Drosophila melanogaster: one gene and its partners. The protein of the gene in region 1 purifies or fractionates together with the protein of each later gene. This does not show direct contact. Each region holds a gene or a part of one and is shown on either strand. Other genes may lie near its edges.

Region 1 (5,208 bases):
ATCACCTATCGCTCTTGCAAACATCTCGACGGCAAACACACCATCTTTGGAAAGCTTGTCGGAGGATTAGACACTCTTCAAAAGATGGAAAATATCGAGGTGGATAACAAGGACAGACCAATTGAGGACATCATCATTGAGTCCTCACAGGTCTTTGTGAATCCATTTGCCGAGGCAGCCGAACAGTTGGCCAAGGAGCGCGAGGAGGAGGCGGCCGGCAAGGAGGAGATTGTCAAGAAGGAGGAGCAGCAAAAGCGCATGAAGGAGCCACTGAAGGTGTACAGAGAGGGCGTAGGCAAGTACCTGAAACTTCAGACAGTGGCCAAAAAGCCAGAGGCGCCACTTACATCCGCTCAAGCAGCCAAGAAGAAGAAACTGGCGAATGGTTTTGGAGATTTCTCCAGTTGGTAACCCATTGTTTTCCAAAAATAAATATTTAAAAGACCGTTTTAGAAGTAAAAGTTATCACTCTTTATCGGTAGATTTGGTTCCCCCATCTGTGCGCTCTCTATCCTGCCAGCTTTTCTTCATTTCTTGCAGCTTTTCCTGTCGCCGCCGCCGCTCAGTGGACTTTCTCTGCTCTTGTGCCTTGACTTGCGCGGCAATTGAATGCTCTCCGTTTAGATGCACGTCCAGTTTTTCCAGTAGAAGTTTACGAGCCTCCACTCGATTCTTTGATGCTAGACGATGTGTGTGACACTTGACCGTTATATTGGTGGGTAGATGGCGCAAGAACACGCAGTTGGATGTCTTGTTGACAGCCTGGCCACCAGGACCACTGCCGCGCATGAAGGTCTCCTCGATATCCGACTCCTGAAGCACGGGAAAGCGGGAGTAGTCCAGATTGGACTTGCAGCGCACAGCGGTCGGAGGCAGCGCCAGGAATCGCACCAGACCTCGCAGCATTCCTACAGAATGCGTCCCTTCTTTAGCAGGGTCTCTCCGCGCTGAAATATAAGTTCATTTTGTAAATCAGTTATGAAATACGAAAGTGGCACTTACCTTAAAGCTGAATTCCACTTCCACGGGATTCGTAAGGGAACGGTTGTCCCGAAACTCGTGGCGAACTCTTCCCAGAAAGTAGTTCTTGTCGGTCAGCTTTAGGTGATTGCCGTAACGAATTAAATGCTTGTATAAACGCAAAATTTGCTGCCGCGAAGGTTGAACCATTTTCATATTTCACTCTCACATGTGTGACAGTGCTGGTTAACGCAGAACTACAACAGGTTGGCAGTTCAGCAAAAACACAATCAGCTGCGGCGTTGTGCGATCAAAACAAAAGCAACAGTTATAAAAATAAACATTTGAAAAAAACGCAATGATAAGATTATAAATCTTAAGTAGCCCACAATTTACGATTCCCCCACCACTGTTAAAAATTCCTAGTCACGGTTAAACAGTGTATTAAACTCTAAATAGGTAATGCATGTCACTTTAACATCTATTTTATTATCTACAGTTACGCTATACCTGAAATGCCTGAATACTTTTACATTAGGCTATCAATTGATTACTCCTTGGGCAACTTGTCAAGATCAATGCCGTCATCAATGGACACCCCTGTCGCCTGGCTCAGCTCCAGCATTTCCTTAACCTGGTGAGCAACCTCCCTGTCCACAACTTCTCCACCTCGATTCATGGTCCGTTCGATGATTTCCTCGTCAGACAGTTGCAAGGCGAACATCTCCTCGGGCGAGATGTCCAAGGGATCCACCAAACTCATGAGGAAACTGGCCGATATGGATAAGCTGTACGGCAGGAAACGCACGTACTCCTTCAGAAGCTCACCGCGACTAAGAAATAGCGTAATTAGTATTATATTATTTCTTGGCAGTAAAAAGCTTTACAGGATTATCTTATCTTATCACATCGAGCACCTAATGAGTATTTTTAGATTTTTGATTTGCATTCATATCGCTTGTTTGAAATTTTAAAAGCTTATGAATAATGAATAATAATAACAACTCACCTTAGGAAATCCGGAACCTCCTCCTTGGCGTGCTCCCTATAGCTATTATGAAGCGCCAAGGTGTATTCACAGAAGATGGCCTCGAAGTTTGGATCGCGTACCTCGGCAAAAATGGACACGGCTAGAAAGACGTTGAGATCGACCATGGGAGAGGAGACTCGCAATGTCTGGTAGTCGAACATCATGATCTCCTGCGGCTCCTCCTTGTCATCGTACCTGTACGCCACATTATTCCTCACATAATCGCCGTGGCACAGGGTGGCCAGTGGCTCCCTGGGCGCCACCCGTTGCCTACCGTATTGCGAATAGTCCGAGATCATGAAACAGAACTTCTTAACAAACTCCTCGTCGATCTGTGGCTGATAGGTGGCCACCGCCTTGGCCGCTCGATCGATGCTCGTTTTCATGGTGAGCTTCCATTCCGGATGAATGTTATCGTTGGCATAGCGAGATTCCTTCAGATTGTCAGTCAGCTGGGCAAACTTTTCCGGGTTCTTGTGCTTCATGGCGTACGCAAAGCCATGGAACCTTCCCAGGTAACTCACGGCAATCATGGCGTGCTGCAGACTCAGACCCACACGATCCTTGGTGACCCGCCATCCCTGCTCCGCGAAATTCTCCAGAATGGCCACAGCCGAATGCTGGTTCAACTCGCCGTAATAGTACTTGGGTGCGGCAAACTTGCCATCGGTGAACTTCTGAAACTCTGGCAGAATTTCCGTATAGAAATTTATCTCGTTGGTAAAAAGGGGCCCAAACTGTATGGATTCATACATTTCTGGTGGCATAGCAGGTGTTTTCTACAAAAAAAAAAAAAAACAATTAATTATTGGTATTCTGGGGTCATTGCATGCCAAAGTAAACTTCATCATTAGATGTGATTTATTTTGAATTCAAAATCAATTCGCTTTGTTCTTTTGTTGAGATGCCTCCCTCTATTTCACAATGTTTGCCATAAAACCCACACTCTCACTAAGCTATCTGAGTTTGCTGGAAAACAAAACTGGTAAGTAGTACGCAGTTAAGGCACTTATATAATATAATTTAAATTCCGCGAGTATAGTAAATCTTTTCGTTGTGTTTTTAGATATCCAGATAGATTGTTTAAGATTTATTTATACTATGTGAATGGAATAAACCTACCTTAACCACCATTTTTCGCTGAAACTTTTGCCCGTCGTATTCAAAATTAATGGTTGTCCGGTAGCAAAAAGTTAGCATAAAGGCCTCCGAGTGGCCAATTACATCAATGTCGATGTCCCCCACATGGAATGTGGTCACCTTGGACTCGCTGTAGTTGTCCACCAGGCGCCCGTTCCTCAGAATTGACGGAAGAACCGTGTATCTCAGCCATTGCCTCTCAGCCTCGATCTTCTCCATTTCGTCGGTACTGACGATCCCAACCGCTTCGCTTGTGGATAGCGAATGAGCATAAACCATTTCATATAGCTCATTTTGTACTACTCTCCAAAAGCTCATTCGTTGTTAGAGATTACACGATAAGAGCGAATTGGAAATGAAAAGCTTTCTAATCATTAAAAGCACTTTATGGTTTATAGAGAAGCAGTACCTACCTAATGATTAGCATGATGCAATTTGGCATGTTAAAATGATATGATAAGATATCATGACGCAAAGATAGGGGGATACGCTATTTATTAGTTTTAATTAGTTTTTTTTTTTTGTTTATTGTGTGCAAAGTTTAATGATTCCTTTGGATTAAGTTCTATTTTCCATAATCACAGGTATCGATATATTTTTAGTCAAAATTTCCAGTTTTAGAAAAAGCTATCCTACCGTTGCAGTTCGACTATCGACCAACTACCAATGGGCCTCAACTGGTATTTACTCAAAACGACCGGGTCAATGACCAGGGCCAACACCTACGTTCGAAAGTTCACGAATGGATCGCAGCAAAGTCGAGATATCAGCATGCCATCCAAAGTGCCAAAGAGGACAAGTGCTTCGATCAGGATCACGGATTTGGATAACATGTCATATATGTCCTCTTCTTCGCGAAAAGGCAAAATAACGAGCGGCCGACACGATCAGTTGAAAATGTCGAAGAATGCTCAACACGACGATGTCGTCTGTCCAATGCAAGCGAGTAGGAAGCCCATCGAGGAGCCCACTGTTCGGGATTCGCCACAAATGCGCGAGTTCTTCGAGGAAGTGCGTCAGCGAAAGCTCAAGGATTACTATCTTCAGATGAAGGCTGCACAAAGAAATCCAGCGATGTCCCATGTGTGTCCGGATTGTGGTTTTGTGAAGCGGGATAAGAAGGATCTCAGCAAAAACATTTACTGCACGGGGGATAAACGATTGAGGATAAAAGATTGTGATCGGCATGGGGATCTCACCTGGCTGTGGAACTCCTCCGCTGCATATCCTCACTCTGCACTTAGTTGTGGATGCAGCAGAGGTGTCTCCAGCCACTTGGAAACTTTAATCAAGCTGCACAATATAAAATGTTTAATTTAAAATTTGTAATTTTTGATATCTAGTTGCCAAGGAGTTTGCTGATAATACATCTGTTTTTCTCCGATATTTAGTTTCATTCTGCAATCCAAATCGTTCGTACCTTTCCGATTTGAACCCCACTCTTTCCACAATGTTTTCCGATCCCGCCCAGGAGTCGGTTGCCACGCAGACGGAGGCACAACCGGTTCCGTCGCCCATCTGCACCCCACTGCTGATGGTGGACGAGGATGGACGAAAGCGGTACTGCTACCATGGTGGAAAATGCAAGTGTGCCACTTGCGCACAAATTCGTGCAGAGCAGGCAGTGAAACTCGACCAGGAGCTGCTGTCCTACATACCGCACTCGAAGCTCCACCTGGAAGTTCCAATCCGAATGGCCAAGCCGAAGCAGTATCGCCTGGAAGCTCGACGGGCTACTCCCGAACTGGCAAAATTTCTGCGGGAGGATCACGAGAGGCTGAGGGCGGAGTATCCATCGTACTATCTCCCGGATCGATACTTTGGTAAGAAATTCTACGAGTTGCCAGGACCGCAGCACAAGGAGACCCAGACGGACATTCCGATTGGGCGTTACGGCATCGATGGTTGTCCCTGTACCAATAAATCGCTCTGCTATGACTTGTAATCCTGGGCAGGACTCAATTGGGGAAAAAAGAGTTTAATAAAAGTTCGGAATGTGAGAAGTATTTGCATGTTTTTCAATAAATCACTATAGTTAATTTCCCCGACTATCACATACCCATTACTCAGCTAGTAGG
Region 2 (6,390 bases), 5.1 Mb from region 1:
TCGCCAGCCGGATCATGCGCCTCACTATGCACCACCCCACCTGGCTCCCCGCGTCTGCCTGCGAGTAGCAGCACCTCCTCCTGCCGCCAGCCCAAGACTAAAAAGATCATGTACGATTTGACAGAGAACGACGACTTTGACCGCGAGCAGATCGCCACGTACGAGGAGGTGGCCAAGTTGTATCCACGGCCCGGAGTCTTCAGGCCCATAGTGCTCATCGGAGCACCCGGCGTGGGGCGGAATGAATTGCGCCGCCGGCTGATAGCCCGGGATCCCGAGAAGTTCCGCAGTCCGGTTCCGTGTAAGTTTTCTTAAGTTTGTTTTATTAAGTGAACAAATGAACTAGTGTAGAAATGACCAAGTGAACAAATGGACCTCTTTTCGAACATCTTTAATAGAAAACCTATTCGTTTTTTTCAGACACCACCCGACCAATGCGCACAGGTGAAGTGGCCGGACGAGAGTACATCTTTGTGGCCCGCGAGAAAATGGACGCGGACATCGAGGCGGGAAAGTTTGTGGAGCACGGCGAGTACAAGGGCCATTTGTACGGAACATCGGCGGAGAGTGTCAAGTCGATTGTGAATGCCGGCTGCGTATGTGTGCTGAGTCCGCACTACCAGGCGATCAAGACTCTGCGCACAGCTCAGCTGAAGCCCTTCCTCATCCATGTGAAGCCACCAGAGTTGGACATCCTGAAGGCTACGCGAACGGAGGCGCGTGCCAAATCCACATTCGACGAGGCGAATGCCAGAAGTTTTACGGACGAAGAGTTCGAGGACATGATCAAGTCGGCCGAACGCATAGATTTCCTATACGGACACTTCTTCGACGTAGAGCTGGTCAACGGCGAACTGGTCAATGCTTTCGAGCAGCTGGTCCAGAATGTCCAGCGACTGGAGAACGAACCGGTATGGGCACCATCCATGTGGGTGCAGTAGATCGGTTGCCAAATGTGGACAAGCATTTCATGCAGTTTGTTGATGAACACCAAAGTATTTTTGCCATACGAATTTAGCAATCTGCTAGAGAAACGGAGAAGAGACACTATTTACCCGTAGGCGGTCCTGCTGGGCACTCCCGTCCGGCCTTAGTCCTTTTCACGACATGTACCTTTTTGCGTAACAGTGAAAACAATGTAATGAATACAATAATTATTGACAGAAAGTGAAGGAAATTTGAACTCAACCAGCATCTAACTTACAATTAAATTATATAAACTTGTTGTACAAAATTTATTTGTGTTCAAAGAATGACTTAATTATAAATGTATGTATTACACGTTGTTGAAATCAAAGTACAGAGTTAATCCCCCCGTAAAACCTAAAGCTAATCGTATTGTATCTCAGTTGTATATACACTCACTAACTGAAGCATATTGGATACAATGTGAAGTTCTGTGTGACGACATGTCTCATTTCGAAAACTGATTTCACCAAAAACGTAGTGACAAATTGTTGAAAACAAGTGAGAAACTAATAAAAAAAAAAAACTATTTTAAATGCGATTGAGAGGGAAGCGTTTTTCATTAGCTTAGCAATTGATGATGTATATATTAACTTTATTTAGGTTAGAGAAGACTTAAACACAGCTTTATTGGGCAGCGCACTTGTTGACATATTGACATGCTCACGTACATATAAACTCGTAAATATAATCTGTCACCTATGCTAACCTATGGCAAATGTGTAAATTATTAGCTTAGGCATATGAAGTCTATCCAGGATGTACTGATCAGTTTTCTTGATTGTATCTTGTAGTGCGAAGACAGAATTCTACATCCACACGTATAACTGGGTCAGGTATCGCTGTCGTCTATACATGTTCTACGATATCCTAGCCTACAGCTAGAGTTGCGATTTGGTTCCAGAACGGGACACGCTTATTCCGTAAAACTGGGCCAGTCGTCTGGCCTCCCGCCATCCCGCCTCGACTGCTCCGTGAACCGTGGAGTAGTAGTGCTCGCTGGACGCTTCTCCGGCGAACTGGACAATGGGTCTATCGCAGCGACTCTGCTGCCACGCCTCGTCCTCCGAGTCCTTGTCCTTCTCCGGAGTGGTGGCCACCACGGTCAGGGGATGGGATAACTCCCGTGCACCCGTTCCCAGCTGCTCCGTGTCCATGGATCGATAGGAGTAGGACCCACGAAAATTGTCATTCGTATACCAGGCAGAGGTGCGGAAATTCGCGGGATCTGGGATTTTCCACCTCAGGAATCTTCGGAAGAGGTACATAACGCCAGCCTGGACCTCATCAACGGGAAGGGTTTCCATGTGCCTGCCGCTCTCATTGGTTATCCAGCCCGCCAAGATTCTCGGCTGATAGCTCACCCTGTAGAAGCCAAAGACATCCTCCAACCATGCTCGAGAAGTGCCGCGTATGTCATCCAAATCCTCGTCCCGCCAGAGCATGGTGAAACCCGTCCAATCCTCGGGCCAAAATGCCTCGGGAAACTCCACAAAGATTTTGTTGACCGTTCCAAAGGCCAAACCGTCAATGGCACGTTGTTTCTCTACTGGAAGCTGTGGCTCAAATAGCCGAAGGTGCTGATCCTTGAGAACTCCCAATGAAACCGTGACCACCACATGGTCAGCTATACAGGTCTCTCCATTGCTCATTTGAAGTTCCACGCGTCCGTCGTTCCGATTCCAGTTGATCTTCACAACACGAGTGCCAAGCAGGAGACGCTGCTCCAGAACTCCATGCTCCACATTTAACTCCCTGGAGCGCATGAGAAGCCGTAGAAGCTCCACATAGCCCTTGTCCTTCCAGTTTAGCAGGATATCGCCCTCGCACTCCCAATAGTCCAGGTAACCTCGTCCCGAAACTTGTTCTAGCGTATCCGAGGCCTCGACGGAGTTCTCGAATTTCTGATAGTTGACAAAGAACTCACTGGCCACCTCTGCGTCTATATCGGAGTTTTCCGGACGCCGGAGAGTGTCGTAAAACTTGTTGGTCAGATAGCTGCCCAAGGAACCGCTGCAGTGACGCAGCTCCAGTTGCCGGGTGACCAGTGAATCCCCGACGATGGCTTTCAGGCGACTAGATACCTCTTCCGGTACCACATCTCCGTTGGAGCGGACGCACTCATAGTTTTCGTAGACCGGACCCGTCGACTCCAGCAGCTCCTCATCCTGTTTCCGTGTCAGTTCGTACACAATGTTGTCCCGTTCCCCATGACACCATTGGGCACCCAGATCAATGACGTTGTCCGCAAAGGGTATAGTGTGTATGCGGCCACCTAGACGATCCTCCGCCTCCACGACGAGCACATTCTGAAAGCCCAATTCCAGCAGTTTGGTGGCACAGGCCACACCCGAGGCTCCTGCTCCGATGACAACGATCTTGCGATCCTGATTCCGCTGTGCGCCACTCATTCCGGGTAACTGAATATCTGGTTTGGAAATAAAGGGGTAGCAGAGCAACAGGAGAAAAGCAAATTAAATAATAAACACCATAAGTTCGAATGTGCTAGAGTGTGAGTAAGTGGGTTGTGGGCAATTGTGCGTACACTTGAAAAAAATCTGGTATACTTAAAAGCACATTAAGTATGGTTCCCTTTTCAACCCACAATATTTAGAAAATTATATTTGGATGATTTTTTCAAACTTGCAAACTATTTAAAAATTTGTAAAATTGTTTTTCAATTTTATGCAACAGTAAGCATTATTTAATTATGGTTTCCTTTAAACACACAATATTTAGAAAATTATATTTGGATGAATTTTTCGAAATAGCAATCTATTCAGAAATTTGTAAAATTGGTTTTTAATTTTACGCAACAGTAAGCATTATGGTTTCCTTTAATCACACAATATTTAGAAAATTATATTTGGATGCATTTTTCAAAATTGCAAGCTATTCAAAAATTTGTAAATTTTTTTTTCAATTTTATGCAACAGTAAGCTTACAAATGCTTGGCGTTAAAACTGTGTAAATTGTAATACAATATCACTTATTCGCAGTCATGCCTAAAATCTCAGAACGTGAATACGTTAGCTTTACTATCCATTGCAAATGTTAAAGTGAATAAAACAAGCCCTTTTAAAAATTCTTATGGTTGTAGGAAATTTGCTTTTCAAAATTCCCATTTTGCTTTCACAGATATGGCTTTTCAATTTCCCTTTCACTTTCAAAAATAGCATTGTAAATTGATTTCGCAATAAACTTATCGTATAATATACATAAACAACAGTCTGTGCGGGTAATTTGCTGATATATAACATGATATTTTCACCAACAGAATTAATTTTGTGTTTTTTTTTGCCATTTTTGCTTACTGTGCATTGGAAATTTGCTTATGGCAATGGTGCATTGCAATTCCAGACACTTGAGTTTTATTACCGTCCACTTTCCGTACAACATAAACTACACACGTCTTTTGATTAAAAAGTAACGGCATGTTCGCTCATCTGTTTCGATAACGAACGAATCCCTGCCCGCGAATCCGACTTTTGATAAGAGTTTCGAAAAAGCTCCCCCCACCCAGCAATGAAAACCACGAGCAACACACTGGCGTCCAAAGGAAAACACACGGCCACCAAGAACACATGTAGTCTGAAATATGTTCACTCGCTTCTTCTGGCCACATGCATTTATTAATAGCCACGGCAGCAAAGGGAAAGCGGAGGAAAAATCCCAGAAGGAGTATCTAGCCAACCGGACCAGCTGGTTTTACCTGGCGGTCAACTGAAATCTGAGTGTTTCCACGAAGAGCAGTAAGTGGGGGGGGGGGGGGAAAGAAATGGAAGCGGTATCCCATCTTCCGCCGTTTGACATTGATTTTATATATTTTTGGCCAACAAAATGCTCAAGGTTTTCAGCGGCAACAAAAACTGCACACAATAGGAAAACCAACCACAAACATCCGAGAGGAAGTCGAATTTTGGGTTACTGCATATTTGGGGGTGATAATGGGTGGGTATGTTCACTTCACTGCGCACTGTCACTCACCAAAATAACTTTGAATGCCGCTTAGCCGAAGTAATTCAACAATTGAACATTTCTACCGGAATATCAGGAGATATATATATATACTATATGCCAACTGCTGGGAAAACTCCAGCTCCGCGGAAAAGGCAAACAACACTGAATGCCGAAACCCGAAAAACATCACATGGAAACGTGCCGCTCTGCCCGTGTGCTTATGCTGTGACCCAGTGGCGTAGTCCGGATTCCCCGTAGGGGTTATGTTTCAAGCCTTTCGAAGATACCCCTTTGGTTGCGCCACTGTGCGCAGACTGTAAGCTCGCCAAAAAGCTCCGGGCAAAAGCATGCAACACAGCTGAGTGAGTGGGCAAATCGAGTGGGCTGTCGAGTGGTTTTGGGGCGCAGAGAGAACATGAGAAGGGGCCTGATACCCTCTCCTTGTGCACAGAGAAAAATTTGGTATTAAATACCATTTTCCAAATCATTGATCTATCAGAAGATAACATCTTGACTAATCCTACTATCCTTAAAAACATTAAAAAATTTGAAAGCTTGTATTTCCAATTTTTGTTTAATTTAGGCTTTCAAAATAGCGAACAAATTTTTGTATATGTATACAATTTCTCTCTGTGCACTCATACAGTATTTCTAGGTGACCCGTAAGAAGTACCTCATTTGGCTTTAAATTAGGAATTTAATTTATAAGTATATATATTTACTCAATTGCATACAAGTTTTTGCTAGATTTGGTTAGTGAAATTTCCTAAGACTCTTCGTTAAATAACTCGTTTGATATTGGTAGGTCCATTTTGTTTGTATGTATATATATGCAGATATATCCTTCGATGTATATACAGCTTACAGTTGCAGTATCCTTTGGCCAAATTGGGAATGACAGAACTCTGGAGCACTTGGTTTATATGTAAGTAGTTAGTTATCTTTTATTACCCGCCTACATTGACTTTACATGATCATTTGTCCGTAGCTTTGGAATTACATTATATATATATAGAGAGAGGCGGCTGGTAATAAATCAGGTTAAAATGTTTCCGTGTATATACAGCAAGGGAGTTTACATGGAATTGTAATTAAGAGCCCGAATTCAAAAGCAAGCTAAGTCATAAATAAATCTAATTTACACTAAATATAAACGATTTGGGAACAACGAAAGCAATTACAAAATAATAAACAAAATTATCACAAACAATAACAGTCCGGATAGGATGAGAATGGCGGCCCACTGTCGTTTATCTGTGAAAGAAGATGGATACAGTTAAGAATTAGGAATCAGAAGTCACAAAAGTATTCAATGGGTAATTTTGATTGTGGTTCACTGAAGCATTTACTCTTCATTAATATTTCAATCAAAATAGTCCTTGAATACCACAAGTGCCGCACCACTCACCATTATTCATGTGCAAGACTTTGGCAACTTTCTTCATGGTCGTATCCAACTTGGAC
Region 3 (4,385 bases), on another chromosome or scaffold:
AATTGGGAGTTTAAGGGATAGAATTTAATTTTTCTATAAATAAGGGCCCCTTACAAAGTGGCCTTTGCCGCAGAGGAGAATAAATCCCAACTGATTGACGCGGCCTGGTCACACTGAAAGCTAATACTGGCATATTAACATTTGGATCTTTTATTACTTCAAAAGGATCCAAATGATAAGAAAAATGCGTTTTAACATTCGCGGAGATATTTTTGCATTTTTAAACATTTTATAACTTTAACTTGTGTTTAAAAATACTAATACTTAAAAAATACTTAAAAAACGCGATTCTTTTTGAAATCTCTTTAGTAGGCGTTGCCAGTTCTATACAGCCAGTCAGTATTAGCCCATCTTACACTCGCAGTCTGGCAACGCAGAGCAGAAACAAAAAGTCATCTTCCCAGGCGGCTTTTAGCATTTTGCAAAATTTCCATTTTTCTGCTGATTAAATTGAGCTAAGCGAATAGCAACGACACCATGTCGATTCTAGCCTACAACGGAGGATGTGTAGTGGCCATGCGCGGAAAGGACTGCGTGGCGATTGCCACGGATCACCGATTCGGCATTCAGGCTCAGACGATCTCCACGGACTTCAAGAAGGTGTTCCACATCGGCCCACGGATGTTCCTCGGGCTCACAGGCCTGCAGACGGACATCCTTACTGTTCGCGATCGCCTGATGTTCCGCAAGAATCTGTACGAGACACGCGAAAACCGTGAAATGTGTCCCAAGCCCTTCTCGGCCATGATGTCCAGCTTTCTGTACGAGCACCGCTTTGGCCCGTACTTCATTGAGCCGGTCGTTGCTGGCCTGGATCCCAAGACCATGGAGCCTTTTATCTGCAACATGGACCTGATCGGCTGCCCCAACGCACCCGATGACTTCGTTGTGGCCGGCACCTGTGCGGAGCAATTGTATGGCATGTGCGAAACCCTGTGGAAACCCGATCTCGAGCCGGACCAGCTGTTTGAGGTCATCGCCCAGTCCATTGTGAACGCATTCGATCGCGACGCCATGAGCGGTTGGGGTGCCACCGTCTACATTATCGAGAAGGACAAGATCACGGAGCGCACACTGAAGACCCGCATGGACTAGATGATGTTAGAGGTTCCCTTGGTGATTTTGTATACATTAACCGAAATACACATACAAATAAAATTTGTTTAGGTACAACATGTGCGTATTTCTTTTCCGTATAACGTAATAACACCAGAATTAAATGCGTAATAACACCAGAATTAAATGCGATCTAATTATTGTTTTTCAATTTCAAAAGCATAACTTTAAGTCGTATTATATTATTGCTCTTCTGTCCACTCGGTGGATTTCTTGGCCAACAACATGGCAGCCTCCTCGGTTTTTGCCCCGCCAATAAATCCTGTGTGATGGATGAATTCGAGATCTTTGATGCTCGCCTTATCGCATAGTTCATCGTCCATCAGTCCGCGCCAAGGAGTGGGCAGAAATTTGCGGCCCAGATAGCTGCCAGGCGTCACTGGAACTCCGGCCACTCGCCAACTATTGCCGCTGTTGAAGACGACCAGCTTGGGCACACCCTCCACCTTGTACTCCTTTTCAAGATCGAACAGATGAGACTTCCAGGGGCAGAAATTCTTCAACACAAGAATCTCGCCGGTGGGATGGACGTTCTTGGCATTTTTAAGAGCCTCTCGTACGTGATCCCGGGCTGGAATCCAGGAACATGATACCTCCACAACGTTGTCCACAAACTCACGACCTGCAGTATCCATCGCCTGTCTGAATCGGTCTTCGATGTCTACGCCAGTTTCCTGCCAGGACGGATTCAGTTTGGCAATGCGGGCAGATAGATGAGTGGAGATTTTGTATATAGGCTCAACGCCCTCGAACATGGGCACTCCATTATCAATTGCGTCCAGTTCGTTGATAAAATTCCTATAGATCTGAATAAAGGCCGTTTGCAGGTTTTCCGGTGAGAGTTTAATTCCCTTTTCGCGCTGCAGGATGCTCTGTATAACACGCTCGCCATAGTGACAGTAGACCAGTCCAGCACTGCTTAGCCTGGAGGGGATTACATTGGATTATACGGGTTCATTTACGCTAACACCACGAATTCACCTGACAACGTTGTAGTCCTCGCTTACATCTGGGCGAACGGAACTAAAAGTCTCCTTGAAGGTTATTTGGTGGTGATCGTACAATTTCTTGGCATGATCATAAACGCCGCCCACGTCGACAATTATATCGCACTTCTCCTTCAAAGCCTTGTTGTCCCGACTGCGGAAAATCTCTGCGTTTTTGTACTCATCCAATTGCTTGAGCATAAAACATGCGACCAACTCGTCGCAGTGAAAAGTGCCGCTGTGTGTGCCGATCCAAAGGGGAGAGCGTTTTGGTGGGGTAACTCCAGTCATTATAGATAGTTTTCCTGCTTCAAAACATTCAGTTAAGCCCAGATATTTCAATTAATTTCGGATTGTAACCAAAAACTTACGAAAACGAGGTAACAATCGGAACATTAGCGACGGTCTTTTCCTCCATTTAATATCGATATCACAAGTTTTTATAACTTGATATGGCAACACGCGTTCAGCTTAAATATATAAAAACTGCAGCGTGGCAGCACTGGTAACGGTTTTTTAAGCCGCAAACAATTAACAACATTTTAATTAAATACGTTTTATAGGCAAGTTGGATTTTAATATAATAATATATGAAAATTCAGTGAAATCTGTACCAAGCACTGCCAGCTTATCAAAGAACTTCGCCCCACACCAATCGATTGCATGGGCGTTTGTGCTTATCCAATAAATTAGCATTCGCTTGCTAATTTGTAAAACAACAACTCATAGGGACCACATCAATTTTTTGGCTGCTTAGTAGAGAATTATTGGCTGAAAATTTTAGTAAGCCTTTGGAACTCAAGACCCACGAATGGATACATTGGATAAAATTGACTAACCACAAGGATTTACCAAAATGGCAGAAGCCCGTTTGCGCCGAAATATAAGTCGGCAAGTACCCGCAATGTAAGAGTGATTAGTTTAAAAGATCATTAAAAACGCGCGGGAATCGGAAAGCTTAAAAATACATTACTGACCCACTGCGTGGCATTGCTTATATAATCGTTATAAGTTATTTAAATTTTACATTTCCGTTAATTGTGCGCTGAAACTGACGAACAATAATTAAAACCGAAATAGTAGGCAAACGGTCTATGTATGCGTTTAAAACATAAATCACCGCCGACAACAATGATCACGTGTATGAGCGCGAACAAAACGTTAAATTCAAATTGTTACACAGGCATTTTTCCCGTTGTCAGCATCCCATGACCTTCGAAAAGATGCTAAGCTCGGAAATTGAGTGGAAAAGGAAGTGCCTGTGTAAACGAAACTCGTTTGGAAAACACACTTCACTATCTCCAATTGGAATGCGAAATTCAGCTCGAATTAAAGTTCAATTTGCCCCGACGTCTACGTCACGCGGCCAAATCAAAAATTTCACAGGGCTTATTGTGGTACTAATCGATGCAGACACGCTTATCAAAATCTGGACTCGTTTCGACCTCAGCTTCTTGCAATTAAGCTTATCATACAGATTACGTTAGAAGTTCATTGCCACTGAGCGAAAAATGCGCTTGTTTTTACAACTACCCAAGTAATTATATTTTCACGCCCGTGAGCAAATAAGCAAATTCCACAGGTAAATACCAAACTGAAACTGAAAGGTATATTGTACCACATGTCGTTCTTAAATGAATGAAAGTGAATAGTAAGTTGAATATACAAATATTTAAATCATTTTTGGCTTATATAGCACTTACAGGGTATCATTGGATCGGTGAACTGGCACCCTCGTTACGTATATGCCCATTTAACTTATATTAGCACCGTCTTTTTTCAAATAAATCGCTTAATACAACAAATATGTGAGTACGCGTCAAAAAAACTTTAAGGGCAATTAACTGGAGCACTTAAAATAGAGATTACTAAATCGGGAGGTGATGATTTTGTATTTAAAATTAAAAATTCGACACTATCATTAAATTGCATTACTATCGTTGTAGTGTTCTCTGGTGTGCAACATCACAATTGTAGATTTATTTACTCGAGCCTAAGTGAACTTAAGTAGCCTTACTGTATTTATAGAGGCGAGATCAAAGCCGCCTGACGTTATATTCATGTGTGTTGTCCGGTTTATGCAACTGTCATTTAACTATGGCGAGAATTTACCTTTTCCTGCTCGTATTTGCATCGTACATTATATAGAATACGGCTTTGTGGGTATATTCTTGAACTCAAACCGGAATGCTGGGTATACAAATAAGAATTCAGAAAGAAATTAATGTGTTTTTTTTTATGAATGCCAGACCGATTCGAAGCTGATTTAGTGGGAAGATCTAG

The links. The genes of interacting proteins can lie anywhere in the genome.
Region 2: the proteins of JhI-26 (region 1) and CG7737 purify together in Drosophila melanogaster (affinity purification with mass spectrometry, with the first as the bait; one large-scale study listed by BioGRID). This does not show direct contact.
Region 3: the proteins of JhI-26 (region 1) and CG11980 purify together in Drosophila melanogaster (affinity purification with mass spectrometry, with the first as the bait; one large-scale study listed by BioGRID). This does not show direct contact.

Annotation. Positions count from the first base shown.
Region 1 is NT_033778.4:16,287,513-16,292,720, reverse strand, and holds JhI-26 (juvenile hormone-inducible protein 26), read right to left. Parts: upstream 3,402-5,208; 5' UTR 3,350-3,401; coding exon 3,113-3,349; intron 2,976-3,112; exon of another isoform or gene 2,770-2,975; coding exon 1,970-2,769; intron 1,806-1,969; exon of another isoform or gene 1,794-1,805; coding exon 1,511-1,793; 3' UTR 1,388-1,510; downstream 1-1,387. Other genes in the region: CG7747 (uncharacterized protein), read left to right, coding at 1-411; CG30100 (uncharacterized protein), read right to left, coding at 466-906; CG42372 (uncharacterized protein), read right to left, coding at 909-947, 1,003-1,170; CG30099 (uncharacterized protein), read left to right, coding at 3,797-4,450; CG30324 (uncharacterized protein), read left to right, coding at 4,581-5,075.
Region 2 is NT_033778.4:11,221,574-11,227,963, reverse strand, and holds CG7737 (uncharacterized protein), read right to left. Parts: upstream 4,520-6,390; 5' UTR 4,366-4,519; coding exon 4,281-4,365; intron 3,395-4,280; coding exon 1,848-3,394; 3' UTR 1,218-1,847; downstream 1-1,217. Other genes in the region: metro (menage a trois), read left to right, coding at 8-301, 421-941; Syx6 (syntaxin 6), read right to left, coding at 6,104-6,180, 6,335-6,390.
Region 3 is NT_033777.3:9,002,164-9,006,548, reverse strand, and holds CG11980 (uncharacterized protein), read right to left. Parts: upstream 2,533-4,385; 5' UTR 2,499-2,532; coding exon 2,474-2,498; intron 2,454-2,473; exon of another isoform or gene 2,411-2,453; coding exon 2,098-2,410; intron 2,041-2,097; coding exon 1,299-2,040; 3' UTR 1,218-1,298; downstream 1-1,217. Other genes in the region: Prosbeta3 (proteasome beta3 subunit), read left to right, coding at 478-1,095; CG31100 (uncharacterized protein), read left to right, coding at 2,959-3,008.